Notamacropus eugenii: one gene and its partners. The protein of the gene in region 3 purifies or fractionates together with the protein of the main gene of each other region. This does not show direct contact. Links are inferred from orthologs where the notes say so. Each region holds a gene or a part of one and is shown on either strand. Other genes may lie near its edges. The genes, in order: ZMYND19, GID8, MKLN1 and ARMC8.

What was found.
Region 1: the proteins of MKLN1 (region 3) and ZMYND19 purify together in Homo sapiens (affinity purification with mass spectrometry; 3 studies listed by BioGRID and IntAct, with this or other methods). This does not show direct contact. The link is inferred for Notamacropus eugenii from reciprocal best matches to the Homo sapiens genes MKLN1 and ZMYND19.
Region 2: the proteins of MKLN1 (region 3) and GID8 purify together in Homo sapiens (affinity purification with mass spectrometry; 4 studies listed by BioGRID and IntAct, with this or other methods). This does not show direct contact. The link is inferred for Notamacropus eugenii from reciprocal best matches to the Homo sapiens genes MKLN1 and GID8.
Region 4: the proteins of MKLN1 (region 3) and ARMC8 purify together in Homo sapiens (affinity purification with mass spectrometry; 4 studies listed by BioGRID and IntAct, with this or other methods). This does not show direct contact. The link is inferred for Notamacropus eugenii from reciprocal best matches to the Homo sapiens genes MKLN1 and ARMC8.

What each region holds. Positions count from the first base shown.
Region 1 is NC_092872.1:494,368,448-494,376,070, forward strand, and holds the start of ZMYND19 (zinc finger MYND domain-containing protein 19), read left to right. Parts: upstream 1-4,611; 5' UTR 4,612-4,797; coding exon 4,798-4,848; intron 4,849-6,612; coding exon 6,613-6,672; intron 6,673-7,154; coding exon 7,155-7,261; intron 7,262-7,623. UniProt on the Homo sapiens protein: May be involved as a regulatory molecule in GPR24/MCH-R1 signaling.
Region 2 is NC_092872.1:499,008,469-499,015,356, reverse strand, and holds the start of GID8 (glucose-induced degradation protein 8 homolog), read left to right. Parts: upstream 1-3,875; 5' UTR 3,876-4,014; intron 4,015-4,282; exon of another isoform or gene 4,283-4,398; intron 4,399-5,799; 5' UTR 5,800-5,811; coding exon 5,812-5,929; intron 5,930-6,888. UniProt on the Homo sapiens protein: Core component of the CTLH E3 ubiquitin-protein ligase complex that selectively accepts ubiquitin from UBE2H and mediates ubiquitination and subsequent proteasomal degradation of the transcription factor HBP1.
Region 3 is NC_092874.1:119,238,867-119,246,713, reverse strand, and holds the start of MKLN1 (muskelin), read left to right. Parts: upstream 1-4,838; 5' UTR 4,839-4,924; coding exon 4,925-5,022; intron 5,023-7,847. UniProt on the Homo sapiens protein: Component of the CTLH E3 ubiquitin-protein ligase complex that selectively accepts ubiquitin from UBE2H and mediates ubiquitination and subsequent proteasomal degradation of the transcription factor HBP1.
Region 4 is NC_092876.1:329,187,936-329,195,663, reverse strand, and holds the start of ARMC8 (armadillo repeat-containing protein 8), read left to right. Parts: upstream 1-4,721; 5' UTR 4,722-4,939; coding exon 4,940-5,104; intron 5,105-7,728. UniProt on the Homo sapiens protein: Component of the CTLH E3 ubiquitin-protein ligase complex that selectively accepts ubiquitin from UBE2H and mediates ubiquitination and subsequent proteasomal degradation of the transcription factor HBP1.

The DNA of each region.
Region 1 (7,623 bases), on a different chromosome or scaffold from region 3:
TAAAATATATAAGGAAATATAAATTATATATAATATAAATAAAAATATAAAATCTATAGTCTTTATACAGCTCATGAGTTTCTACTCTGTCTGTGCTTCTTTCCCTTCCTCATTTCAAGGACCAGGACCTCCCTGTCAACACATACACAGATTAAATGGTGAAATACTGTGATCACAAAGTTTCTTGTAAATAAAGTGATTCCAAAAGAAATAGACCAACCACTCCTTTATGGACACAACTACTACCAAACATCTCCTAAACCTCCTCCTGTTTGCTTTATAAAATTTTAGGGTGTGGTACAGGGAATTCTTGTATCTCATGGAAAAGAATAGTGGAAAGGGGTGATTGTACCCCATCTGAGGATCAGAGATTATCAATAGGGGAAATCAGGGGGAGATGGCAAGGAAAATCAGTCTTGCTCTCCCTCCTCCCTCATCAATCACTTAGCTCACTGGCCCTATGGGATTCACAATATCTGGAGGCTCAGAAACTTTGGATCTTCTCTCCTCCTCCTCTTCCTGCTCCTCCTTCCTTTCAGCTCCATCCTTGCTCCAAGATCTGGATCTCTCTCACTGGCCTGGTGTTTGGTAGTCTCCCTCGCTGGCAGCTTGTGCCTCTGGCCACAGCAATAGCAGCATTGGTAGTACCAGCAATTGAAGCCTCAGCTGCCTCATGAAAGCCTAGGCATTTGCATGCAAGGTCAGTGACAGGAAGGACGCCAATCCAAGATGCAGCATCCATACAGCTTGTATCCCTATCCTATCACATGGCACCCTGCCACAGAACCTATTGCTGGATATTTTCTGCTATTCACTCTCTACCCAGGAGAGAAGCAGAGTATCTCACTTCTGGAGTGGTCTCACAAATTGGGTTGAGTCTCCTGTAAAAACTTCCTGAACGCTTGCTTGGGTTCCCATGGAGATTAAAAGGTGATATAGAAATGCTGGCTACAAATGAATAAAAGTGAAGGCTATATTTTACATATATCTACCATATTTTCCCAAAGAGTTTGTGAGCTCCTTGAGAACAAAGACCATGTCTTCTTCCTTCCCACTCCCCACCCCCAGCTCTGAACACAGAGCTTGGCGCATAGTAGCTGCCTAAAAATTCTTGTAAGACTGAATAAAGAAAAACAGAATGGATCTCATAGGGAGAAGGGGCATTGCTTTGTTTATGTCTGTTCATAGAGTGGCACCAAGGGACCAGCTGCTTGATGTCAAATTCTCAAGTATTGGGGGGAGGGATGGAAGCACACAACTTTAGATCCTTGAAATTAGTGCTAGACAAAAAGTGTTGGTTCCATAAGGGCTCTGATCTGAACAAATTTCCATTTGAGTTTGTACTACTCAGGAAAAGTAAGGAGTTCCGAACTGCAGAGGTCAGGCCAAAATAGAGGGCACAGAGTATAGGAAACAACCTTGAATTAACCATGTAAAGCAGAGTTAGAATGTAATGGATTATATGATACCCAGAATCAGTAGGATTTTAAAAAATAGCTTTTATTGATATCTTTTTTTTTTTTACTTAGCTTAGGTTTTCCCCTTCCAGAGAGACCCTTGTGTCTTAAAAAAAAAAAGAAAAAAAGGAAAAGAAAAAAATTCAACTAAACTGATCAATAAGTTGAAAAATTTCAGACTATATGCAATGTTTCATACTCATGGTCCTCCCCTACATACACATATGTGCCTGCGTGCAGCCACGGACAAGGTATCTTCTCATAGTTCTTCTTTGGCCCCAAGCTTGTTCCTTTTAACTTCACAACCTTCATTTTTTATTGTTTGGTGGTAGTTATTCTTTCCATTCAGATGGTTGTAGTCATCGCTTTTATTGTTTTCTGGGATCTGTTTATATCACTTGGTATCAATTCATGAAAGTCTTCTCTGTGCTCATTTCTTATATAGCACAGTAATATTCCATTACGTTGATGGACTACAGATCTTTATCTCTTTTCTCTTTGCCCCCTTTACTTTTACAAGGAATTCCAGTGACAACATTAAGGAATTCATGGGGAAGGCAAAGATCTTTGAGGGAAGCCAAGGGAAGTTCTTTCTTCCTTTCTGGACTTACATTTAGGCCCTAAAGGTGGTGAGCTGGATGCCTGGTGGGAAGGGTGTTGGGGTAAGGAAGTTAAAGGTCACAGTTATTTGGGATCTTGATTTCCTGTAGTATCACAAGGAGGCAGAGCTATAAGTAGAGTGGGATAACTACAGCATTGTCCAAGGAGCTAGATTTAGAGGACCTCAGATTTAGTGGATACTGACAGAATTTACAGTACTTCAGCAGTTAGAAACACCAGAATTTAGCACATAGTTAGTAAGAATTAAAATGGGAAGTTAGCAACGCTGACTTGGGATGAACTCCTTACCATCCTGCTCCCTAACAATTGAAGGCAACCCAGAAGCATAAACACATGTATTAGGATACATAGGATATTCATGGCACATGGTTAACACTTACATAATTAAATAATATAAGGATCCAGAATTTAATCTGTGTTCCTATGGATTATCCACTAATACTAATTACCCACTAATACCCACTATACCCACTAATATTCTGACCCCTCCAGGCCTTAGTAGATGCTTTCATAAGTTGCTATAGTCAAACAAAACATTCCCCATTATCTAATTGCTAGCCTTCTGGTGATGGATTTCGGCAAACTTAGGTAGGAGGATCCTTTGACCCCTGGCAGACTCACAGCCTGGTTCTTACCGGAACTCCAGATTGGCCGGATCTTCCAGAGTATGCACTGATAAAATAGACTTTGGGGACCCAAGGTCAACTCTATACCACAATGAAGCTGGCTGTAGTGGAAATAACAGTGGACTTGGAATTAGGTATGACCTGGGTTAAAAGTATACTTCTGATGCTACTTACTAAGTTATATGGCCTTGGACAAGCTTAAGCTCTTTGAGCTCTTTGAGCTTCTTCAGTCCTTGTGGAGACCAAACGAGATCATGCCTGCAATGCGATTTGCAAAGATTAAAGTGCTGTATAGATGACAGCTCTTATAAATATGTCTGGTAAAGGAAACTTGATGGCTAAGGGGAGCTCTCCTAGGCTGCCTTGGAGAAGCTGGTCTGCTTTCTCTCAGTGTCTACTAGGAGAAACATCTTGGATAGTCTTCAGTTGTGGCTTCCTTTTCTCTGACCACAGGGCCTGTGGTGATTGGCTTGAAAGGTCATTTGCCATGAAAATGTGATAAGAAGGATCCCTTGTGCAGGCTCGAAATGTAGGAAGCTTTCATTTGTGTGCACAAACCCCAAATACCCACCCATCAGGAGCTGCATCAGGCCAAGCTCCAACCCAGAGACAGCCAGCACATCTAACTATCCTGAACCAAGCGTTGCCAATCAGGATCTTGGGTTCGTTGCTCTTAGTTTCTGCACACATCATTGTAGAGGAAGATGTGAAGCACCGCATCCGTGTTAGATGTCCTTCTCCTAGGCACCAGGGTGATGCCAGATTTTTCACAGAAGAGTATATTCTCATTCACCAGGCCACATTTTTAACAGCTGCTGTTACTGACACATAGAAGGGCATGCAGCTCCTGCTGGAGCACCAGGTCTGGAACCAGAACCTGCCTGCCTCAGTTTCCTCATCTGTAAAATGGAGATAAGAACAGTACCTACCTCCCAGGGCTGTACGGAGGATCAGACCAGACAGTGACTGTAAAATGTTTGGCAAGGCGCCTGGCACATAGTCAGCACCCCATAAATGCCAGCTGTTAGGAAGGACTAAACGCGGGGAAACAACTGCCTTTAAACGAATTTAGTGTCAGCGTTCTAACAAAGAAGTGTTGTTTTCCAGTGAAGGGAAATAGTTTTCAGTCCCAAGTCCCCTGCCTCCTCCTCTTTTGGGGCTAGCTAGGCCTGGGCTGGGCGGGGAAGGAAGGGCAGGAGCTTGAGAGAAGCCGCAGGCTTCAACCACGGCCGGGGGCCTGCAGAGGGAGCGGTGCAAAAGGAACCGGAGGCCGGGGGACGAGGGAGGCCAAAGGCTCCCGCGAGCCGGGAGACCCGGCTCTCAGCCTCGGGTGGCGTCCCGATGAATCTCTAAGACCCGGCACTCCCCCTTCTGGGCTAGCTCCCCTCGAAGTAAAATGAGGCGGGGGGCTAGAGGGCCTTGAACGCCCAGGGTGCTCTGAGATGTATAACTCAGACCCTCCCGGACAGGGAGGACCAAGCAAGCGTGCCTGCGGCCCGAGAGACCACATGGACCGAACTCCAGACTCGATGTCTCGGGGACTCTGCGGCCCCTTTAAGGGCACCCACACTGCTCCGCCCCATTCCACCCCTATGGAGATTCTCGGCTGGGTTCGAAGCACAAAGCTTCCCGCGAAAACTACGTCAGAACGGAGCGCGCGCGCGGGAAGCTCCTCCCCCCCACTTCTTTCTCCCCTTTCCCCTTCCTTTGGTCCTCCGCTGACTCCGGTCTCCCCTCCTCCTTTCCCCTCCCCCTTAGTGGACCGGCGCACTCCCTATATTCCTATTGGTCCGTAGAGTCCGGCGGGCGGTGCGGCTCTTGATTGGTCCGAGTGCAGAGGGCTGAGGGGGGTGTGTCCGGCGCGGCGCGGCGCGCGGCGCGGCCCCGCCCCTCCCCTGGCTGTGTGCGCGAGGCGGCTGTGGCGGCGGCGGCGGCGGCGGTGGCGGCGCGTGGCAGGCCCCGGCCGGCGGGCGGGAGGAAGCGGTGGCGGCGGCGGCGGCTGCGACGGCCAGGGCCTTAGCCTCGGCCTCGGCCCCGGCCTGAGGGAGAGAGGGATCGCGGGTGGTGGCGGCTACGAGCGGGAGGCCCTGGCCATGACCGACTTCAAGCTGGGCATCGTGCGGCTCGGCCGAGTGGCCGGGAAGGTGAGCGGCCCGGGGCTGGGAGGGCGAACGGAGCGGGCGGAGGCCGCGGTCGCCATGAGGGCCCGCAGAGAGACGGAGGCCTCTCACGGGGGGCCCCGAGCCGGGGAAGTCCAGCAGCCGAGGCCGCGCTCCAGAGCTCCGAGGCTGCTGATCCCCGCGGGGCCCGCCCACCCACGGCCCGGGAGTGGCCGCCGCCAGGGTGTTCCTCCCTCCCCCCGGTACGGAGCCGCTTGTGTATCCTGGCCAGGCCTCAGCCCCCCGACTTCCAGCGAGGCCCCAGGGCGGCGGGGATGCCCCCCCCACCCCCGGCCACCCGACCCTGGCAGCCCGAGTCCTCCAGCCTCACCGGGGTGTCAGGTGTCAGGCTGTCTGCTCCACTCCCCCCACCCCCGGGCGCTCCGGCTCTTGGCGTGAGCGCTGAGGTCTGTGGTCCAGCGGAGGGCCAGTCCGGGGCGGCTGAAGTTTCGAGGAACGTCCAGGTTCCCGGGCTCCGTGGGATACAGCAGCATAAGTCTGGAGGGGTGTTTAGGTGTGAAGGGTCTGGGGGCGCCCCGGCTCTGGTGCTGCTTGCTTCTTGGGGTAGGTGCGGTCTAACTCCCGCGATCCCGAATGCTTCTGGGGTGCCTGGCTCGCACAAGCCTCCTTGAAGGCTTGTTTTGTTGAAAGAAAGGAAAAAGGTGTTGTGTGCCAGGTTCCAGGGTTTCCTGGCTGGTTCTGTGGAATGATCCCCGTGACCTTTCGCTGCCCGAGCGAAGCCCACTAGGAGGATAAGTGCATTTTTTTTCTACCTGTGCTAAGGTCACTGGATTGAACTAAGGAGTTTGCCTGGGGAAGCCAGTGAGCAACTAGTTACACTGTTGTGTCACACTGGCCTAGAACAGTAGGGGGAGCCTGGGGAATTAGTGCCATGGAGCAGCACCTGAGCCAGATGTAGGTGGCACTTTACCATCATCATCTTCTTCATAGCTAGCATTTCTAGAGTACGTGCTTTAGGGTGAGTAAAATGTCATGTAAAAACAGGCCTCCCCTCACCTCTTATCTACTCTTCTTGCTTTCTCCTTGTTTTCTTCACCTGATTTCTCACTCTGTTTTGTTCCTCTTCCTTTTACATATTTTGTGTATGGATTAAACCACCAGTGGTACCTGTGAACATTTTTGCTCCCTGGTGCCACCAGCACGTTCTAGTTGTTGACTGCCTGGTCTGGTGAAAAAGTCTGGTCCAGGAAAGCCTTGCTGGTGGCTTCCTGGTTGGTTCTCTTGTGGCTAGCTCTTGATAGATGAGAGAGGCAAGTAGAGTAGGGGACAGGCCCCTTAAGCATCGGCGGCAATTGGGAGTAAAGCCATTTCATTTACATGAAGGCTGGAGGTCTGTACACATGAAGAAATTTAATGGGAAGTTTATTTGTCTTGATAAATTTTTCTACTTAAGTTAATCTTTTTGATGCAGAAGAGGAAGATTCTGATAACTATCATTCCAAGACATTTATATTTAGTCTGATGACAGTGCTGATTTTTGGCCTGTGCTATGCAAAACATTTAGTACCGTAGTGAATTCCTTTACTTACTATTATTACCTCCCCTTGTTATTTACTCATCTAATTGAGGGCAGGTGAGTCAAGGTGATTAAAATAACATTTAGTTACCATCTAACTTCAGAGTTTAAATGTGATTCATAACTTCCTATTGCAATTATTTCACTGTTGGTCTTAACCTAGCTTTGTTCATGATAAATGTAATTCTTTACAATGTCTGGTTAATTTTCAGACAAAGTACACGCTGATAGATGAACAAGACATCCCACTGGTGGAGAGTTACTCTTTTGAGGTGAGAATGGTCTGTTCCTGGGGTTGGGTTGTGGTTGGACATTAAGAACCTAGAGAAATTATGAATACATTTTAATATTCTTTCTTCCTGCTCGTACTCTGGGAATGAGATTCCTCTAGATGAATAACTAACGCTAGTTCTGAATCACTTCAAGACCAGAGATGACTAAGTCAGCTAATTTTGATCAATTTTGGTAGTCCCTGACAAGTAGAACTATACTATATCCTATATTCAAATTAGAATTTGTATCAGAAACTTTGGTTTCTTCTTTCATGGCCATGTTTTTAGGAGCAGATGATTTGGGTCCAGTTTTTGTTATCCCCTGTACCACTGACGTCCATGAGGACCAGATGGTTTTTTTCCCAGAATACTAGGGATTAAGCTAACATTTTCAATGGTTTTATTTCTTTTTTCCACCAGTTTGATTTTGAAGTGTTGTTGCAAGATGGATGATTTTAAGTATTTTCCTTGTCCTATCCCAGGCCCGAATGGAAGTAGATGCTGATGGAAATGGTGCTAAAATTTTTGCTTATGCTTTTGACAAAAATCGAGGAAGGGGATCTGGACGTTTACTTCATGAGTTGTTGTGGTGGGTATTGTGTAGAGATCAATATTTCCGTCTTTTATTTGGGGTGTGGCTAGAGTTTGTAGAGTCTGCCACTTATCCATCCAGTCTCCTTAGTCTCCCTGAATAAGTCCTGTGTGATCTCTGATATGTTGGGTGGGGTGTCTGAGAGTAGTTTTAAGAGCACCAGACTGCACTGTGTATTAGACCCATGGTGCTGGAGGGGAAAGGGGAAGTGCTGCTTTTTTTCCCTTTAGAATCTTATGTTCTTCTGCTCAAACTTTGTGTGTAATAGAGAATAATATGGATTACAGAAGTTTCCAAAGACAAGGTGAACATGCTGCCTTGGGTCTTGAGGCACTATCAAGCTTTTCTCATGAAAGTAA
Region 2 (6,888 bases), on a different chromosome or scaffold from region 3:
GTGTCCGACTGTGGCTGATCAGACCAATATGAGCTCGGAATGCTCTACCACAGGGTATGGGTGATGTCTTTTGATTCATGAGTAAATTCGATTTAAGTGAGGCAGAGTTGCACAAAGTCATCAGCCTCACTCTCTCCTCCAGTGCCACCATAGTCCAGTGGCAGGACAGAGTCAAGACAGCTGGTGATGGCTCAGGCTGCAGTGGATAATCTTGGCATCTTCCATGTCTAACCTGCTTCAGCTGCCTTCATGGCCATTGGAACAAATTGTTCTCATCTACTCATTCCATCAGAGGAAGTCTTCACATGCTTGAGATAGACACACCCCTAACTCACTAATGGGTTTGAGACCCCTTGGTTACCCTCAACCTGCTTTGGCCTGTCACCAAAACAGTTTGCCGAGGTGTGGCCACTGCACATGTTGCAGCTTTTTGAAGCCACAAGTGAGAGTTGGGTGGAACAGGTGAACACCAATGGTGGAAAAAGCCCCCAAAAGGGCTCAGCACATAGTAGGTACTGTGTAAAAGCTTATTTTCTTTCTTCTCCCTTCCAATGAAAAGGCCCATCTTTTCAAGAAAGTTAACATATTAACAATGTCACTATATGGCAGTAGCTTATACAACGGCTTCAGAAGAATTGAGTATCATGTTTGATACACTGATACCACTTAGTAAGCTTATGACCCAAAGTGATCAAAGGGAAAGAAAATGGATCTATTTACAAAGTCATTCATAGACACATTTTAACGTAGCAAAGAACTGGAAAACAAGGGAATAAAATAAGTGGTTGAACAAAATATGTATATGAAAGATAGGAACTGAACCTGTGATTTTCTTGGTAGAGGGAACTTCTAGGTAAAGGAAACTCCTCTATTGATGCAGGTTATGACCTTCTCTACTAGGTAGAGACTTAGAGCTGCTTAGAGTACTAGGAAATTAAGTTATTTGCCCAAGGTTACTTAAGCTCTGTTAGAGTTGGAGCAAGAAACCAGGTCTTTGTGAATGAGGCCAATTTTCTAGTCATTTTGCTTCAATACTTCTTAATATACTAATGTAATAGAGTACATTATTGCTGCCAAGAAATGGCAAAAGAAATGGTACTGAACTGATACAAAGTGAAATAAACAGAAGCAGAACAATTATACAGTGAACATGTCAAAAAGGAAAAAATTTATGAGCCTTAAGAACTCTCTGATCAATACCAACCATGACTACAGAAGTCAGAAGATGAAGCGTGGTGTCCAATGCTGGACACAGATGATAGACTCTAGATGCATAATGAAATATGTATTTTTAACCAGGGCCATTATGTGGCATTGTTTCATTTGAGTCTGCTTACTTGTCAAAAAGTTGTTTTTAATAGGGGAAGGATGAATGGAAAGTCAAGTGAAGATGTGATTTAAGAAGAGGAAAAAGAGATTAGAGCATTTAAAAAACATAAAGAGACCATAAACAATTATTTTATTTATTGTGTGGATGGAAAGGTGGGGGAGTAGTTAGGTTATGAATGGCTTTGAATGCCAGAGAATTTTGTATTTCATTTTGAAGGTATTGGGAACCATTAGAATTTACTGAGTTGGGGGTAGGGAGAGATGTGTGGGAGAAGTAATTATTTCTCTCTTGCATTAATAATTAGTTATTCAATCAGAACCAAGGTTTTTCCCCCTTTCTACTTCCTCATCCAGAAATTAACCAGTGTGGAAAATCTCTCTCTCAAAGATTTACCCAGGCCAAGATATAATCAGACAGTAAAAGAAACTGTAAGTTTAGGTTAATGGGTGCATTCCTGCTTATTGTTTTTACTCAGACAGGTCTGGGGAAGTGTTGATTCTCCTTTTATCAGACAGGATATGGAAATTGATAAGTTTCTTTGACCAAGATTTGGGTAAACCAAAGACCCTCATTGTAATACACATTTTCTCATTAATTTTTAATCAATCAGAGTTTATTGCCTTAGTCAGGAACACTTACTTTTCTAAGAGCATATAAGCTGTGAACCCACCACCATGAGTGGTCTTTGGTCTAAGAGAGGGGGCCAAATGACTACCCTCTTTTAATAAATATGTGGACAGTATTAACAAAATGATTAAATTACTCAAGAAATTATATCTCTCAGACCTTTTTAAATGCCATACGTGTGACTTGGTTGGATCTGTGCTTTTGGAAAATCATTTTGGCAGCTGAATGGAGCATAAACTGGAGTGGGGAAAAAAGCTGTGGCAGGCAGACCCATTAGGCCAGGCCTGAGGAGATGAGGGCCAGTAGCAGGGTGGTGTTGGCAGTTTAGGAGAGAAGGGGGCATATATGAGAGACGTTGCAAAGGTAAAATTGACAGTCCTTGGCAACGGATTGGGTATGGAGTGAGTGGAAGTGAGTAGTCAAGAATGACATCTAAGTTATATATTCTGTATAAATCAATAAAATATTAAGCTCCTACCATGTTTTTGATACAGTGTTGGGGATACAAAGATAAAAAAAAAATGGAACAGGGGGAACCCAATGTAGGCATACAAAATGGTAGCTGGATTGATCAGGAAAGGCTGCATAGAGGTATTAGTTGTGGTGAGTTTTGATAAAAGCTAGGAGATTCTAAACTGCAGAGAGGGAATGTAAAAAGTGAGTCCCAGGCTTGGGGGACTGCCAATGCAAAGGCAGGAGATGGGAATGTCCTTGGGACCAGTAACTAGGACAGTCTGGTTGGATGGTGTGAGAAGAAGGTGAAACTCTAAATTAATTCTGGAGTAAAAAATGGTATCAAGGTATCGTATTGCAGAAAAACAGGTTAGGTTACATGGTAAGAAAGAGCTAAGGACACATGAACAATCAGTGTTTCACTGGTACCCTCCCATTTTCAGAAGCGAGAATGGTAGGAAGGTCTCAACTACCTCTGGAAGTCTTGTGGGTGGACAGACATGGATGCGTTTCAATCCATACTATTGGAAGGAACTTCTCAGCCAATGGGTTAACAGAGCTATTTGAGTATTTAAGAGCCAAGTGCTCCAACAGAAGATACAAAGAAACATCAGATCCAACCATCTAGATGTTCTCGTTTGGAGGGATGGGGGGTGGGGGTGGGGGTGGCGGAGAGGAGAGGAAAGAGAGAGGTTAAAGTTCTAAGTCGATAACTAACTACTTGGAAGGGAAGGACGGGAGGGGAAGGTCAGACTAGACCTCGCATCGGTATTTAAACAAAATTTGAAGGAAGCTTCTGTCCAAGAGTTGAACCAATTCGTGAGCTGTGAAGAAGAACGAAACTACCCTTCTCCCATCTCCCCCACCAAACAAAAGCGGGGGGCTTGTCCACTCGGTTGTAATCCAGTTATTGACCAATTTGGACTGAACCCTAAAGAAGGCACACTGATCCTTAACATAGTCCTACTACCGTGTCCCGTTCTTCGGCCGAGCAGACCTGTGGGATATTAATCCACATCCGCTGGTTTCCCACTCGCTCCTCGGCTCAACATTTTGTGCCACAAACCCAAGTCCAACCTACTCGCCAGCTCCGAGATCTGAACCAACAATTTCACCAACAGCCTTAGTGGGAGGAGTTAGCGGCCCCAGGATGTTCCACACTCAGACAACTGAGTGACGCAATCATCACGCGACGCTCACCTAAAGAGTCCATTTTGGCCTCTGGAGATGTCCTCTGATTGGCTCTCGTCTCTTCCCATACATCCTCTGGGGAAATGCTGGCAGAGAGTTGGAAATGGGGCAGAAAGAAAAAGTTTCTACGTAAAGGCGGAAGCGACGATTTTGTCTTTCCGGTGTCCTTCCCTCCCCCATCCCTTCACGGGAAGATTTTATTGGCTGTCAATTAGGAACTCTCGCGAGAGATCGTTGAGCGGGAGGGGGCGGGTGGCCCATCTTCCCTCCTTTGCGGCCTCCGCCTCCTTCTCCTCAGGCGCTTCTGCCGCCACCTCTCTCCCCCTCCCCCTTCCCCGACCCCCTCCCTCGAATCGGCCTCGGAGAAGGGGCCCTTGCCGAGACCGCGCAGCCAAGGAGGCGGGATCCTCACGGTAAGATGGCGTCGGCGGGGAGGGGGCCGCGGGGGGCCCAGGAAGCCGGGCCCGAGGGTGGCCTCCTCTCAGCCTCCCTCCATCCCTCCCGCCCTCGGGCTCCCAGAGTCCGACGCTCCCCTCCGCGGTGGGCGGGGCCGGGGCTGAGGGACGCAATTTGTTTTGATCTCGGGAGAGCGCCTGGTCTGGGCCTGGCGGGGCCTCCGGCCTTGCAGTTGAAATGGAAAGAAGGAGGAGGAAGGAGGGCAGCGAAGAGAAGCGGCAGCGGGCGGGCCGGGCAGTCTTATCGGCTGCACTCAGATCCTGCTTGGTCTCGATGGCTGCGAAGGTAGTGGCGCCTGCTGGTAGGAAGTCTGCATGTCGTGGAGGCGCCTCTGGAGCGAAGTAAGGCAGCCTCCTGTGTTCTGTGTGTTGATATTTACGGTGGGGAAAAACCCAGTCCAGAAGGGGTGGGAGAGTCCCCGTTTTTATCTTGTATCTTTGAAAAGGTGGCGTGGGCTATTGGTGTAAAAAATTGCACTCGAAGACGCAGGAGACTTGAATTTTCCGGATTTGGAGTCGAAGGACCTGGGTTAGCATCTTGGGTCTGCAACTTTGTATCTATATGACCTTGGGCAAGTCAGTTTCCTTCTTAGTTTCTTCGGGGGAGGAGTTTGATTAGATGCCCCTTAGATCCTTTCTAGCTCTCAATCTATGGTCCTGTGCGATTTTACTGTCTGATCTTGATTAGTGACTAAATCTTAGTTTCTTCGTCTGTGAAATGGGAGCGTTGAGAATTGTACTCACAGAGGTGTTGTGAGGAAAGCTTTGTAATGAGCTTTAAAATGTTATATCAGAAACTCTGCTTGGAGGAAATACATGCAGTTTAGGTAAAACTGTCTTCTTACCCCTTAAGAAGCCCACTGTCTCCTAGGTTGACAGGACGTGTAGGCATTTAACTTAGTTAGAAGATGATGGGTAAATATTGCCGAGGAAAGGTGGCCAGGAAATTATTTGTTTTTCACCACTTTTGTACCAGCTAGTTGAGCTTTAGGTTTTTGGTTCAATATTGGGTTTGTGATTCTTGTAGTTGCTTTTTTACTTAGGGATAATGCCTTTGGTTGGGCAACTCTTAAAGTAGCTGGGAAATGTTTAGGTGTGAATTTGAATATTTTTTTTTGTGGGAAAGTTGTGTTGTACAGTAGTTACAATTCAGATGATGTCTCCACTGGAATTTCTTTGTTCAGAACAGAGATGATACCTAAGTTTCAAATGCAATATTTACTCATAAATTATGGTTACCATAATAGCAATTTAATGTTTTAATTTTAAAACGTTGATCTTGGATCTCTGAAAAATGGAACTTACATTTTAAAATATTTTTTAAAAGAATCTGTGATGTAAAAATTCCCAGGCATCTAAGTATGCAAATTGGTGTCTAAAATGTAAAAAACATACTGCAGTTACAAAATGTTTGGAAAAAATCCAGTTTGAATTTATAAATTTTTAGATCCTAATTTAGTCCTTTTGTGTTCAACTATTACTGTTGCATAACACTGAAGAAAGTAGAATAAATTTCAGAAATTTTAAAAAATTTCCTCCTGCACAATGAAGGTCATAAATTTGAGGTACTTTTAGTTTTCGCCAGGAGAATTAACATTTGTTTGTAATAAGAGCTTTTATTAATCTGACTGTAAATGAATAATATGTTATTCCTATGCATGTGAGATTACACTTTTTAAAAAAAAACAGTTTATACATATTACTCGTGACTAAATTTTTTAATTTTTTTTTTTTTACTTTTAGAAATAGTTCAGAATGAGTTACACAGAAAAACCCGATGAAATCACTAAAGATGAGTGGATGGAAAAACTCAATAACTTACATATACAGAGAGCTGATATGAACCGCCTTATTATGAACTATCTTGTTACAGGTAATTTGGAGAATAACATTTCATAAATTCTTGAAAATTATCTTTGGTTTTTCTTATACAAAAGCAGAACTTTATCACTTAGTAGCGAAATTTTAGGTTTTTATTACGGTCCTGGGTAAATGGGCAGCATCCATATGGAAAGGTGGCCAGCTTTGGATTTAGTAGGACCTGCTTCAGACAGATACTACTGGTCTTCTCATGGATAAGTCACTTACCCTCTCTCTGTGCCTAATTTTTGCTTTCTAAGCCTATAAGTTACAGACTGGTTGCCTCAGTATAGGCAATCTAGAGTTTTCATATGTAGATGAAATCAAAGCTGTAGAAAAAATCAAATTGATTTTATGTCAAATGCTACTTGTAATCACTTCCTTATTTGAAAGCCATTTGTTGTTGTCCCCAGTTCAGTTCTCTGAACAGGGGCAGACTAGCATACTGATTCATTATTTTTTTTTAATTTTATAATGGTTACTTACATTGTCAACAGTTCATACTTATCACACAAAGAGAAAGCGTATTTCCCCTAAAATGATTCAAATCTGTTTCATTCTTAAAAAACTTTCCCTGGTTTTTGCAATTTTCCCAAGTTTCCATGGATCCTGATGTTAATTGTATTTTTAAAATATGACACTTATTGTGTGATTACACTTTAGAAATTGAATAGAGAAACATTTCAGTTCACCAAGTACTTACTAAGCATCAATTATGTGGTAGGCACTGGGAGTGAAAAGACTAAAATGAAACAGTTTATCTCACACTGCTTATATTATATTTGGTAAGGTGGGAGGGGGGAGAAAAATGGAGACATATACCCAGGAAATAAATACATAGTAGCTTCAGATGTACAATACTAAAAGTGTGCAATCTTGACTTTGGAACAGCATTCAAAATACCTTTTCTTCATCACTGATGCAGTATGATTACATAGAAATAAAACTTTAAAAAACAATATTTTAAAAAAC
Region 3 (7,847 bases):
TTGTTGTAAATTCATCTTAATTTTTTATTTTAGTAATTTGATTTTTTCTTCTCCTTTATCTGATTAACCAAAGGTTTGTCAACTGTGTTACTCCTTTTGAAGAACCAGAATGTAATTTTATAATTTCTATAGTGTTTTTGGTTTTTTATTTCTAATTTTCAGAGTTTCCTCCTTTGAACTTCTACCATCTTTGTGAGTTTGATGTTTCCCTGGTTTTAAAAATTGCTAGTTCAGCTCATTAATTCTCTCTCTTATTTAACTTTTGAAGTGTATATTTTCATAGTAGAATTTTTTCCTCTGAGTAATGTTTTAGGTATACCTCCAAAAATTTGTTAAAAGGGCTGCTAATTACTGTTCTTTTTAACAGGTTCTAATTGCTTCTTTGGTTTATTCTCTGATCCATTCATACAGGATTCACTGTTAAGTCACTATTTTGGTCTTATCTTTTGCTTCACTATTTCTATTGTATTATGGCATATAGATGCTGTATTTCGCACTTTGACCTTTTTACATTTATTTACTTTCTCTGTGCTCTATTACATGGTCTGTTTTCGTAAATGTACCATCAGGTACTGAATAATATGCATAGTCCATAATATTTCCATTTAGAAGAACCCATGTTTTTCAAATCTAACATTTCTAACATTTTGTTTAGTTTATATCTTCTTCCTTTATCTGTTTTAGATTTATTCAGCTTTAAGAAAACAGTAATGTATCCTATAGTTATTATTACCATCTTTATATTTTTGTAATTCAGTTAACTTTCCTTTATGAATTTAGATGTCCTCCCATTTAGTGCATGTGCTCAATTTTGATAATATTTCATTTTGAAGGGTACCTTTAAGCAGAATATAGTTTTCCTATTTATCTGTCTTAACATTGAGAATTTTTATTTTTGCTTTGTACAAGAGCATGACTGCAACCTCTGCTTTTTTGAAATCATGTCAAATAGTAAATGCTGTTTGAGCCTCACTTTGATTATATAATTTTCATTTTTTAGATTTTTTTGTATGTCAAAAATTGGTGGATTTTGTTTTCTTATCTATTGTTATCCTCTTTTTTTTTTTATTGAATTGTTTAATCCATTTGTATTTAAGGTAATGATTGTTAGGTTTGTGTTTTTCATTTATTTCTTTTGTATTGATTTTTGTTCCTTCCTTTTTTAAGTCAGCTCTTTGTACCTTTGATTAGTTTTGGTGATACTGCTTTGATTCTATTCTATTCCCACAGGCTTGTCATCCTGGCTCATTTACCTGATATCCTAAATTACCTCAGTTTACTTAAGATGTTAATTTTTCTTTCAAAATTGTTAAAAATATTCTTCCACCTCTCACTCAGATAAATATGTATTCCATAATTTTCCTTTCCCCTTCCAACTTCTTAGATTAAGTAGCATTCTTTTGTTGTTCCAAGAAATTTTCACTTGTTTTTTTTCTGTTTTCCTCATTTCAGTATTTATTATGCATTCTATTCTCCCATTCATTGGCTATACCTAGATCTTTACCTGTTATTTCTTTATTCTATTTCCTTCATTAGAAATGGACTTTCTAGAGTCCCAAATTTGATTTTCTTCTCTCCTATTTCTGGAATTGCCTTTATATATCTTATTTACCCTATCCTCCTTACCACCCATTATTCTATATACGTATGTATTAATTTACCTTATTTTTGTTTTGCTTTTGATGGGGTCTTCTGCTGTGTCCTACTCTTGGAGATGACAATTAATAAAGAAGGAAGCACATAGTGACAAGATTCACTTTGGAACCCAAGTCATGAAGCTTAATCCTATATCTGGCCCTTATCATGATCACTCACCACTTTTCAGACCAGATAATTCTATCTCCAAATCTCCTTACCCCTTGCCAACATGGGTGCTGAATTTTATAATATGTTCAAAGCTGTCCATTTTGCCATTTTTTCCCTGAAATTCTGTTCTCTAATTTCCCACTGAATTTCTCTACTAAAAAAACCTGGACCCCTCCTACCATTGCAGTCTTCTTATACCTTACTCCCCATTATGTACTTGGCTTTCTAGTGACACTGACCTTGCTCTTTCTTAAACAGAATTCTTCATATCCTTCCTGCCTAGGAGGCTCTCCCTTCTTATTGCTGTTTTCTAGCTTCCTTCAAGTCCCGGCTAAAATCTTACCTTCTACAAAAGCTTTTCCCCTGTAATACTAGTGCCTTCCCTCTGGGGATTACCTCCAATTTATCATTTATCCATCTTTTTTTGTGTTTAGTTGTTTGCAACTAAATTGTGAACTCCTTAAGTTTAGGGACTGTCTTTCACATTTCTTTGCATCCTCAGTGCTGAGCACATAGTACATAGCAGGCACTTAACAAATGCTTCTCAACTAATATCTTTTCTTTTTAAAGTTTAATTACTCTTATCAAGTACTTTGGAATTCATTTCTGTTGTTTCAAGATCTCTGGGAATTTGCAGAATATTTTTTTCCATTGGGGGATTTATCATTCATTCCCTAGCATAATAACATAGCATGATAGTTCAGTTTTTTTTTTTTGGTAGTTTGTATGCATTTTTTTTCTTTTGCTGTTGATCTACTTCGTATCTAGGCCTGTATCCAGCCTTTTTCTTTCTCTTTCAGTTTTTAAAAAAAAATGTATTTTTAGTAACTTGTCTCTGGCTTCCCTCCTCATTCTTGTCCCTTTGCCCTTCTATTGCTATGGCACAAAATGTCCTCATCGTCTTCTGTTTGGGGAATATGGGAGATTTGTTCCCTGCCCAAAGTAAACTTTCTTAACTCATTTATGAAAATAGTTCAAAATCTTCCTTCCCCCATGGACTTACATTCTTTCAAGTGGCTTCGCAGAATTAGTTCCTTCTGCATCTTGTCATGGGGGTATGTATATGTGTGTGGGGAGAGGGTGTTTCAGGTCGAGCCCCAACTTTTCAGGGACTGGGAAGGCCTGCACAGATGGACCCTGAAACACAAGCTTGTGAGGTTGATTGCACTGGAGCTGGCTAATAGCAGCTTTATGTGTTTTAATTCTCTCATGTAATTTCATGAGGCATTTTCTTCCTCTAGTGTTTGTTACCTTGCTAATTCAACTGTAGTTACTATATATTAAGCACATATTTTGACTTTTTGTAGGTTAAAGTTACATAGGGAAAATAAATTACTGAGTCATCTCATTGAAGAGTCACCTCAAATTACCCACTATTTACCCTCCATGTGGTACTCAGCTTTTCTGTATCATTCTCTACTGTTCTCCTTCAACTGTTCTTTCAGTATCTCTAGGCTGAGATGGAAGATGATGGCCTCATTCATCATTCCAGTTTAGATATAATCTCACTGTTTCAATGTGTAATTAATGACATTTTAACTGAAAAATTTCCTGGGGTAGATTGCATATTATGTCACAATACACAAATGACTCATGTATACATTTACATATTAAATATATTTGTGATTCTTCCAACCATTTCTTGAAGCATGGGATCATTTTAGTGGGGGCTAGATTTCTGATGCTTTCAGTTTTTTGCTCCAGTAAATGAGGAGATGGGGATAAGATCTTCAGAAATGTGGGGAGTAGAAGACGGTTATAGGAGCAATCAAACGTGGGGTAATAAAAACAATCCTGGAGTATCAGGAAGCCTATATTCTACATACTGCCCCTGCTACAGGGCAGCTGTAGGACTTTAGGTAAGTTGCTTAGACCCCACTAGGCTGAAATCCTTTCTACTCTAAGAAATCATCCCTTCCATAGCATTTCACCGTCTATAAACTAAGAGGTTTCTGATCTTTTGGAACATAGCTGGAAGGCACTTTAGAGATCATCTAGTCTATCCTTTTCGTGTGCAGATTAGAAAACGGATATGCACAAGTTAAGTGACTCGTCCAAGGTCACACATACAGTAAGAGGAAGCGAGGTGACTTGAGTCCAGGGCCTTTCTCTCCATCCAGCATAGGGTGCTGGGGCCCCTTCCAGCTCCGCAATGACGTGATTCTAACGATCCTCTCTGAAAAGTTCAGCTTTTGGAGGCCTTGTCTGGAGCCCACTTCTGTCTCTCTTGCCAAGGCTGGCAGCGCGGAGGCCGTTCCGGGCTCTCAATCTCCAGCCTCCTAGGTTTTCCTGACCCGGGCTGGCTGGCCGGGCCCTCCCTGGAGTAAAGCCGGACTCGGACGCCGGCCTTCCCGCGAGCCCAGGGCTACCTGGATCGGCCAGGATCGGGGAGGATCCTTCGGCGGCGCAGGGGGGAGACGGAAGAGGGGCCCGGCGGCCGGGGGGGGTAAGTCCGGGGCCAGAGCGCCATCTCCGGTCCGAGGCAACGCCAAGGGGCCGGGGGCGTCGGGGCTCCGGGGAAGTTACGGACCGCTTCAGTTCAACCCGCGTTCCCCCCATGCCCACCTCGCGCCTGCGCGAAGCTGCGGAAACGGGATCCACGGCCCCCCGGCCCCGGCCCACTCCGCTCCCCAGGTCCCGGCGCCCTACCGGCTGTGCTGTTCAGTTCTAGGCACACGGGCAGACACGTGAGGAGGGGGAAGGGAGGGCGAGCACCCCGTGGGCAGCAGGCCCTCATTCTGCCTCTCTTCCCTTTCCTCAGTCCTTCGCCCCTGTGCCCTCTCCCTGCCGCCGTCCTCTCCCCGTCCCCAAGGTCTCTTTTCCCCAGGTATCAGCCTAAGGAAACACAAGAGTCTCGGTTCCGGGCGGCCTTAGGTAGAGGCGAGGACGGCGTGTCTCTACCTCCACGGGGTCGCCCCGGCTCCAGGCGCACCCGAGGGAAGGATGCTCCGGAAAGCGTCGGATGCCGAGCGCAGACTCGCACCTGGCCGCGGGGGCCCGCCCGCCGCGCCGGATGGGGAGGCGGCCCCTTTAAGAGCAGGCCCCGCCCCTGCCCTCCCGTCCCCTCGGCGCTGCCAGCGTCGGCGGCGGCCGCGGCGGCGGGTTGGGAGCTGACAAGATGGCGGCTGGCGGGGCTGGTGCTGCGGCGCCTGAGAGCCGGCTGCTGCCTTACGCGCTGCACAAGTGGAGCTCCTTCTCCTCCACCTACCTCCCCGAGTGAGTGCGGGGAAGGCCCGGGGGGCAGTGTCCCGACCCCGGAGATGGCGGGGCGGGCGAGGGGCGGGCGGCGGAGAGAGGCCCGGGCCTGCTGCTGGTGCTTGGGCTGCTGCTGCCGCCGCTGCCGCTGGGGGTGTGGGGGGAGGCGGGGAGGGAGGCGCGGCCTTCTCTGCCCCCTGGCCCGGCCGAGCCCGTCCTCGTCTTCCCGCCCCGGCCCTCCTCGTCTAGTCTGGGCGCAGGCATTAGGGCCGCCGCCGCCGCCGCGCTCGGGCCGAGCTGGCGGGGGACACGGCGTGCGGCCCGGGAGGCGCCGGGAGCTGGGGCGGGCGGAAGAAGAAGTCTCTGCGGGGTCGAGGACCGCGGAGCTTCGGGGAACCCCCCGGAGTGGGCGGCGCGTTGTTCCGGGAGAGAAGCTTGGGAGCATGGCCTGTGAAGTTGGGAGGGGGGAAAACTTGGGAGGCCAAGAGCGGGGCGAGTTCAAGTTCTCCAAGGTCCCGGGAGGGGGAGGAGCCCGCCCGGGGGGGGGGTACCCGGCGGTGACTGCGGACGGGTCAGTGCAAAGCGGGCCATCCAGGAGCCCTTGGGAAGCGCCCGGGCCAAAGGCGGCTCCCAGGCCGATAGGAAAGAGGGGGCTCCGTCTCCGGCCCCCAAGCGTCCGGAGCGTGCCCCCGTGCTAATTTCTAGATCTCAGTTACCGCCTGCAGAGGCGGGGGAGGGCTGATTATCCTCCAGGTACAGGGGAAGAAATGGACTCCGTCAGTTTAGGACGTGTGAAAAAAAGGAAAAAATGGAAGAAAGTCTTTCCCCTCTCCCAGTGCTCCCCCATCTTGGCAGAGTTTTTGTTTTAAGACCTCTGTTCCCCCCCAGAGTTTTCCCGTGGGTCTTCGCTGTGCCAGGCAGCATTGTTTTATAAGCAAACCCAAGTGTGGAGTCAAAAGAGATTGGAGTTCAGTGGGTAATAAAATGGAAATAATGTCCATATTTTACCTTGCCTCTCAGGGTTGCAGGGTTGTTGTGAACATCAAACTAATATACCTGTGTAAGCTGTTTTTATGTTCCTAATTTGACTTGGAGCTTTAAACAAGTATGTGATCTGTGTTATATAGGTCATGTCCAATTCTCGCCCCCTCAACCCCGTAGTTTCATAATATTTAGAAATTATACAGCTCTAGTGTGGTCACTAAAAGGGCATCATGAAACTGCGACTAGGACAATTCAGTCCTTTTGACTCCCAGTCCATTACTCTGTCAGACCACAGTTTGACTGGAAATCTTTTGCTTGTCACAGGATCCGGTTCACTGAATGGTGCCAAATGACCTATGGTCAGATTAGTTTTTTGTGTTATATTGACAGCTGCCCCCAAAAACCTCTTTCTCCTCCTGACTTTCCTGTTTTTGCCATTGATGTCACCATTCATATAGTTTTTCATGTTGAAGACTTTACTTGTTACCTTTGACTTTTCTTTTTCCTGTATTTTTTAAATCTGAGATTTCTGTTGATTCCACCTCAGAAACTTTCCCTCAAAGTGAGGTTGAGTGTTACTGTCATGGTCACACAGGTAGTGAGTCTTTGAGGCGGTATCTTGGAAAATACTTATTAGCCTTCCCTCTGCACGTATGACCACTAGCCTCCTTTGGCTCTCATTGCCTCCCCGTGTGGAGTCTTAGGGTAGAATCTTATTTGGTGTCCCCTCCACGAGTCTTGACTCTCTGCAGTCCATTCTTTAGTAGCTGCCTGATTAATCTTTGCAAAGTACTGGTCTGTCATTCACTTGCTCAAGAATCTTCAGTCCCTATTACCTCTAGGATAAAATACACAAAACAAGATGACTCCAGACCACCTTTTTAGGTGTGTTTTATATCATGTGCTTTATATTTCAACCAAATTGATCTACTTGTTATTCACCTAACTTGGTACATCTACCAAGGTTTCCTGTTCCTGCCTTTGCAGAGGTTCGTACTGGAAATTTCTGTGCTGGAAATGCAGTCTTCTTCCTTGATATTTAGAATCTTTAGCTTCTTTAAAGTTTTCTATGGGAAACCATTCCTGAACTCCCTAAGTAGTAAGTGCTTTGTTCTTTCCTCAGATTATCTTTTTTTGTGTTTGTGAGCTGTATCCCAAATAGAAGGTAGGCTCCTTGAGGGCAGGGGTTGTCCATCTCCTCACAGTGCCGCCTCTGTATCATCATGCTCTTCATTTCCATTTGTTTGTCCAGATCTAGTCTATCATTTATATCTCTGTATGACTTTATCTAGTTGCATAGCTCAGTTTTTAAAAAAAAAAATCTTCATTTTTCTCCCTTATGTGTTCTGAGTCAGTTTCAGACTTTTTAATCTGGAAAGCCTTCCTTTTCATTGTTCTCCAGCTCCAGCCAAACTAAAACATGAATGTATGGTGCATTTCCTCATGCTTTTCTCAACGACTGGAATGTTCTCCCTTTCCTATTTTCCGTTGTCAAATTTCTACCTGTTTTTTAAAATACTTGACACTCAAACTCCAGTTTGAGGATGAAGTCAGAAAAGCAGTCTAGCCCTCAGCTGGAGTGGGGACAAGATAATTGGTACATTGCTTCTGCTTTCTTTAGCTTTCTCATTTTTGAAAGGTGTGAGATAAGCTATAGTACCCTATTGAACTGGCAATAAAAGGTAGGGGCTTAAACAGGTGTACCTGGTCCTGCAGTTATTCTTTGAAGTATCATAGTCTAGTTACTACTAGACTACTAGTACTTGAGGTTGGGAGCTGAGACATGGTTGTTGTTGAGCTCTTGAATTGTTATGGGTCATTACTGCTGTATAAAAACTTGGACATGATGTGATTGAGTTCAG
Region 4 (7,728 bases), on a different chromosome or scaffold from region 3:
CACTTCAGTAGCCCTAAACCTCTCTATGGGAAGGGTAGAAAGTGGACATAGAGAACTCCTCCCAGATCCTTCATTTTAGAAAGGTGCCCAGGATAGCTATCTCATCATTTCCAATGGAACTGAAAGACTTCACAATGCCCTAGGGTCATGTCCTCTCCTTATATGAGGTTAGGGTAGGAGAATAAGAAGACACAAGATTAATTTACCCAGGAAAACTGAGTATAATGCTACAGGGGAACAAATGGACTTTTAAAGAAATAGAGAACTTCCAAGAATTCCTGATGAAAAGTCCAGAACTACAGAGAAACTTTGAAGTTTAAACACAGAAGTAAAGAGAAATATAAAAAAGGTAAACATGAATGAAAAATGATAAAGGATTAAATGAGGATAAACTACTCATATTAAAATATAGAGTTATGATATAAGTCCTCTTTGATCCCTATCATTATGGAAGAGTTGGGACTCTTAGAAGGAATTCAATTAAACAAGGTCTGGGAATAATTCTGTTATATCTTGTTGATATTTTTAAAAAATGGAAAGGAGGAAGAGGGATAGATACACTATGGGGGGTGGGGAAGAATAGGAAGATCAGGGAAATTTATTTCAAATAATAAAGGGTGCACAAATAGACATTTATACAAGAGGAGGGGATGAGGTAGGTGACTAGTTGATATTTGATCCTTACTTTCATCTGAACTGGTCAAAGGAGGGAAGAACACACACACACACACACACACACACACACATAAAGAGATTTGGATAGAAGAATATGTTTTATTCAACTGGAAAATAGGAAAATGAGAAAATGGAGGAGAGAGAATTAGAGGGAGGGCCAGTTTAGGGAGGGATTAGTCTTAAGCCAAAAAAAAAAAAACAAAACCGAACTCTAAGGATGTACAAATATATTTACAGCTCTTTTGAAGTGGAAGGAATGGAAAGCTGAGGAATTATCTGAGGGATAAACTGCAGAATGGATGAACATTCTGGAATATAAATGTGATGGAATATTAGTACAGTATTCTTATCAGCATAATGACCATCCAGGAATCCAGAGGACTAATGATGAAATGTGGTCCCTATGTCCTAATGAAGAGGTGACTCAGAATGAGAAATGAGACCACTGCGGGGAAGGAGGAAGACATGGTCAATGTGGAAATTTGTTTGGGTTACTACACATTTGCATACTGCATTTTGTTTCTCTCATGTGCTCAATTGAGGTAGGGCAGATAGGGCAAGAGGGTGAAAAGACAGATTTTGGCTGATTAAAACAAATTTTAAAAAAATTTAAACCATCAGAAGAATGGACAAAACTCACACAGACTGAGAAATCTTGGATGTGCTGTGATCCAAAGAGTGAGTACATACCCATATCAATGAAATCATAGATCCATAGAAGTACTGAAGGTCCCTGAAAATATTTCCTTTAATAGTTTCTTATACTTGTGTTCAATGCCATGCTTTCTACTATAGCTCTGTCAGTTGCTTGGTCGGAAAGTAAGTTGCATTAGTTTGAAGTTCTCAGGTCCTGCCTCTTCTTATAAATGTTTGTCATAGCTATTTGTAGTTATGCTATTCTTACAAAATGTCATATTTATGAATGGACATAAGTTTTAGCCCATTGACTATTTGAAATAACAGGTTGAAGTTAAATAGATCATAATTTTGGTCAAAAGGTCCACAATTTCATCTATTATTCTAAACCTTTCAGATATTAAATCCTATAATATAACCACTTCAAATTTGTGGCTCTGATTTAGAAGATTGTATCCATTTACTATTCTTTGATTCAGTTCCTCCAATCTCTTCATTTAAAGGGATAATTTAGAAATAGCAACTTTTCTAGATTCCTCATCAAAGGTATATAAAACAAAGTATGTGGTTGCTACACCGGACAGTTTTTGCTTAAATTGCAATTCTTTATCACAGGGAAATTTGAATGTAGAGGAAAAGTAGTGGGTTACTTCAAAATGACTGACAAAATTCATGTATAAAATTTAATTGTAAAAATAAAATCACCAGTAAAAGATTTTAAGAGATTGAATTCACTTTATTTCCTTTTATACCATGATTGATCAAGGGTGTCTACTGATTATTTAGCCAGTTCTCTACTTTGGGTCTTTTGGGTTTTTTGTTTGTTTTTGGTTTAGATCTGTTATTTCCACCGTGAAATGAAAATCAAAGCACTCAAATGTACAGGTTGTAAGCATGGAATGGGACATGATCATCCCCAAGTATCTATCTGGTAGATCAAGGAATTCCTTACTCCAAGTCCAGTATACTTTCCACTCTATAAGATGTACCATAAGTCTTAGTGCAGTTTCCTGTTTTAACCTTTTTAGCTTTTTACTTTTTTGTAAAATGTATTTTTTTTCCAATTACATGTAATAATAGTTTTCAACATTCATTTTTATAAGATTTTGAGTTCTAAATTTCTCTCCCTCTGTCCCTTACCTCCCCCTTCCCAAGAGAGTAAGCAATATGATATAGGTTACAGATGTGGAATCATTGAAACATATTTCCACATTAGCCATGAAGTGAAAAAAGAATCAGAACAAAAGGGGAAAAAAAATGAAAGCAAACAAAAAAAGGTGAAAATAGTATGCTTTGATCTGTATTCAGAGTCCAGAGTTCTTTCTCTGGATTTGGATAGCATTTTCCATCATTAATCTTTTGGAATTCTTGGATCATCATGTTGCTGAGAAGAGCTAAGTCTATTATAGAAGATCACTGCACAATGTTCCTGTTACTGTGTACAATGTTTTCCTTGTTCAGCTCACTTCACTCAGCATCAGTTCATGTAAGTCTTTCCAGGTTTTTCTGCATGTCATTTCTTATAGCACAATAGTATTCCATTACAATCATATACCACAACTTGTTCAGCCATTCCCCAACTGATGGGTATTCCCTTAAATTTTCAATTCTTTGTCACCACAAAAAGAGCCACTAAGAATATTTTTGTACATGTAGGTTCTTTCTCCTCTTTTTTTTTATATCTTTGGGATATCATAAGGGTATTATTGCTGGATCAAATGGTACACAGTTTGATTGCCCTTTGGGCATAGTTTCAAATTTCTCCCCAGAATGGTTGAAACAGTTTGCAACTCTACCAACAATGCATCAGTTCCAATTTTTCCACATCTTTTCCACCATTTATAATTTTTCTTTTCTGTCATATTAGCCAATCTGATAGGTGTCAAGTGGTATCTCAGAGTTATTTTGCATTTCTCTAGTCAATAGTGATTTAGAGCATTTTTATATAACTACAGATAGCTTTGATTTCTTCATCTGACAATTGCCTATTCATATCCTTTGACCATTTGTCAGTCAAGAAATGACTTGCATTCTCATAAATTTGACTCAGTTTTCTTCATATTTATGAAGCCTTTATCAAAAAACTTGCTGCCAAATTTTATTCCCCCTCCAGTTTTCTGCTTTCCTTATAATTTTGGCTGCATTGGCTTTGTTTGTGCAAAGCCTTTTTTTAACTTGCTGTAATCAAAATTATACATTTAGCATTTCATAACGTTCTCTATCTCTTGTTTGGTTATAAATTTTTCCCTTCTTCATAGATCATATAGCTAAACTACTTCTAGCTCTCCTAATTTGATTATGGTATCATCCTTTATGTGTAAAAGAAGTACCCATTTTGACCTTATTTTGGTAAGTGTGAAATATTGATCTGTGCCTAGTTTCTGCTTTCTACTATTTTTTAGTTTTCCCAGCAGCTGTTGTCAAATAGGGAGTTCTTATCTCAGAAGCTGGAGTCTTTGGGTTTTAGTGTATTTCATATACCATTCTAAGGTTAAATCCTTACTTGTTTGACTTTTTTTCTTCTGAATTATATAACTTGTTCTGAATTATATAATTATCTCAATGTTCATCTTCACTTTGAATACCTGGCATTAGTCTTAGGGGTCAGATACCAAAATAACGAGGCGACCTTGGCTCAGTCACTTCACCTGTCTCCGTCTCCCCCTCTGTAGGGTTTTGAGAAGCGCTCCAACGGCTACACACCTACAGGAAAGGGTCCAGAGCGGGATTCAAGGAGCCCATGACGGGACCCCTATTTTACGTTACTATCCGTGTGACCTTGAACCAGTCTCAATCTCTGTGAACATCGATTTCGTCACTTATAAAATAAGAAGGTTGGACAAGGTGCCTGACAGTTCCAAACCCAAGAAAAGTTTTCTCTTAAGAGAACATGAAAAACACTTCATTAACTCTCATCCTCTAGAGGGCCCTCACTCAGTGCGCAAAGACCTTGCCCCGCCCAGGTGGAGGGTGGGCACGGGAGCCATTCCCACCAGGCGCATGCGTCAACTGCTGAACACCGCCCCTCCCCTCCGTCTCAATCCCCTCAACTAAGATTGATGCCTATTTCCCAACAGCCGATTCGTTAGAACGTTCCTCTTTCTTTTTCCTTTCCTTATTAACAGTCCTTCCCGGAGCCACGGCCGCGCCTGAAGCAGCGCGCACCTTTCCCTCGCCAGCCTCTCCACCAGGGATAGGTATTGGCAGCGGCGGAGGGAAGGCGCCGTCGAAAGTGCCGAAGCCATCCCCGGCCTTACCCCAACCCGGTGGGAAGGATCAAGATGGCGTGTCTGCTGGAGACCCCAATCCGCATGAGCGTCCTCTCGGTGAGTGACCCGCGGCGGCTGCCCGGGGTGGGGGTGGAGGGAGGGGGCCGCTCCGCCGCCTTCCGCACGCGGCCACGTTCTCCAACGACTTCCGTGGTTCCCGTCCCGTCCCCCGCAGGGCGGCCCTCCCTCCTCAGCCGGCCGGGCTCCGGGGAGGTGTCTGGGGAGCGCTCGCTGCGGGGACTTGGGAGTCGGAGATCAGCCTCAGGCAGCGGGGCCCTCCGGGGGACCCGGAGCCCCCGGCGCCGGCGGGGCCGCCTGGAGATCTGTCCACCCCGAGACCTGGCTGCGGAGGGAGACTGATGGCTCGTCTCCCTGCCGGGAGAGTGGGGCGGCCCCCTCCCTCCGGCTCCCTGACGAGCCCCGGAGGGGCTGCAAGGGAGGGGAGGAGCTGGGGCAGCCTGCCGGGCTCGGGGTTCCTAGCTGGGGACCCCGCGACTTTCAAGGGGGCCAAGCCTGGTATCCGGGTACGTGCGGGAGTCGCTTGCGGCTGAGTTGGGAGGAGGGGGGCTCATGCTGCAAGTCCGGTGAAAGTGTTTGTTGTCCGACCTCCTTTATCTGGAGCTGTCCATGGGGTCATTTCTCTGTTGGAGCCGCCCGGGGTAACGACAGATCAACTCCTTGGAGGGAGTTCAAAGAATAAAAAGGGGGTGACCAGACGTTCACCAGCTCGGGGAGAGGGCACCCTTGTAAGCCTGGCCTTCCAGCGCTTGGAAGGCTGTCACTTAGAGGGGAGGATACCGATCGGTTTTGCTGGAGAGAGGTCGGAATTTCAGGACCAGTGGTGGAAATTTTGCAGCCCTTACAATTGGAGCTGTCCAAAAGTAGTTGGATATAGGACTGGCGAAGCGGCCAACTTATTAAGGTAGCTGTTCAAACGGAGACTGGATGGCCGCTTGGCTGTTAAGAGGTGTTTTAGAAAGCATTTCTATGTGGGGTGGGGAATTGGAGCAGATTCCTTTTTTTGACCCAAGAGACCCTCCCATTTCTTTATTCCTATGCTTTTCTTTCCTCCTCTCTGTGCCCTTTTTAATGCTTTGGGTTTTGAGCAGATGACTTATTTGTGAGGCCCCTTTGACTCTGTGGTTTTAAATTAACTACATCCCCATTTCCTTAACGGATACCGTATTTGGGGAGGATTTTGAACAAAACACCTCAGAACTAGAGAAAGGGGACCTCTTCTTATCTATTCTAGATGTAATATAGTGTATTGACAATGCAAGTATTACAGTTTTAAGTAAAAGTTTACCCTCAGCTGTCCATGACACTGTCCTAAGTCCATCTTAATAAATTTTATATACCTTACTTATCAAACTCAACACAAAGGTCTAAGAACAAGTGTTCTCATCCTGATCAGATCAGGCCATTGTTCTGTCTCTGACAATGACGCCAAAAAATATTTTTTGGAGTATAATGATAGTTTTCTTTTAGCAGCCACATCCTTATAGATTCAGCAGTTCAATAAATATTTATTAGGCAACTATTGTAAGCATAGTTCTGTGCTAGAGGTTACTTATAGAGTGTAGATTCGGCATGGCCTCTGCCCCAATGCAGTTTACAGGTCAGTAGAGTACCATGAACATTCCTAACTTCTAAATAAACTTCTTTAGTGCTATCAACCATGCATCTCTCTAAGTTTTAAGTATTTACCTGCAGTGAAAAGTAATTTTTTATTTTGTTCTGAAGCCACCTTCTTCGGTCTTCAGGGGCTGCCTCCTAATTCATGTTGTGATAATCGTTGTTGGATAGGGCAAAGTGGATGTTTAGCTCTTATCTCAGGAGATGCAGCCTGCTTGTGGAGTTGCCACAGTTTGAGATATGGTTTCACAGTTCTGTAGGTCCAGAACTTCATTTCACCGTGAGTTGTTTGGTGTTTGAGATAACTTGCTTGTATTGTCCAAACAGAGGGATGATTTGATCCAGGATACCATTTTATTAAATTTGCTGACACATTTTTTACATGACTGAAAACTTGATGTACACTATTCTGGTGATTTCTTTTGTAGTATTGAGGTAGCTGGGAAACTGAACTGTTAATCAGAAGATAGCTCAACAAGCATTTCATCGGAGAGAAAGTTGGATTTGGCTCCGCCGCTTGCTACCTGTTTGATTTTGGACAAGTTACCTAACTCTCTGGACTTCAGTTTCCACATCTGAAAAATGAGGGGATTTGATTAGATAAACTTTAAGGCTCTTTCCAATCCAAAACTTAGGATCCTATTAACAAGAGTTATCATGATCATGATCATCCTAGCTAGTATTTATTTAGCGCTTTAGGCTTTGCAGAATGCTTCAGGAGTACTATCTGATTTGATCTTCCCAACAATCCTGTGAGATGCTATTGTTATCTCTATTTTAGAGATGTGGACACTGAGTGAAACAGGTTAAATGACTTGCCCAGGCTCACACTAGTTCCTGTCTAAGGTCACATTTGAACTTTCTTCTCACTCTAAGCCTGGTGTTCTATCCACTACTTCATCTATATTTCATTCAGCCTGAAAACTCTCCCCTATACTTTCTCTTTTAGAGAATTTATCTGTTCCATTGGCTTTAATTATTACTTTCTCTACAGGCGACAATTCTCTGTCCCTACAACCTGAGGATTTTTCTGAGCTGCAGTCTTACATCTCTAGCTTCTTGCTGGACATATACACCGGGGAGTTCTGCCATAACCTCAGATTAAACATATTGACAGAGTACTACATAAATATAAAGATAGGGATTGGACCTGTGATTTTATTTATATAGGAGATGAAATTATGTTAGAATGTAAATGCCTTGAAAGCATTCATTGATTACTTCATTCTTTACATTTGTATCCCCAAGGTAGCTCAGCATCTTCTCTGCAACTTAGTCTTAGAGAATTGTCTAAAAGTACCAAAAGTTTGAGTAACTTTCCTAGGGTTACATAACCAGTAGCTGTAGAAACAGGACTTGAACCCAGTCTTCCTGGTTCAAGGCCTGCTCTATCCACTATATCCACTGATGCCTCTCATATAGATATATGTAAGCTGCTATTATTCCTGGTTTTCCCCACAGCTATGACTTAGTATAGCATTTATTACTTCCCACTTAGAATAATAATACTAAT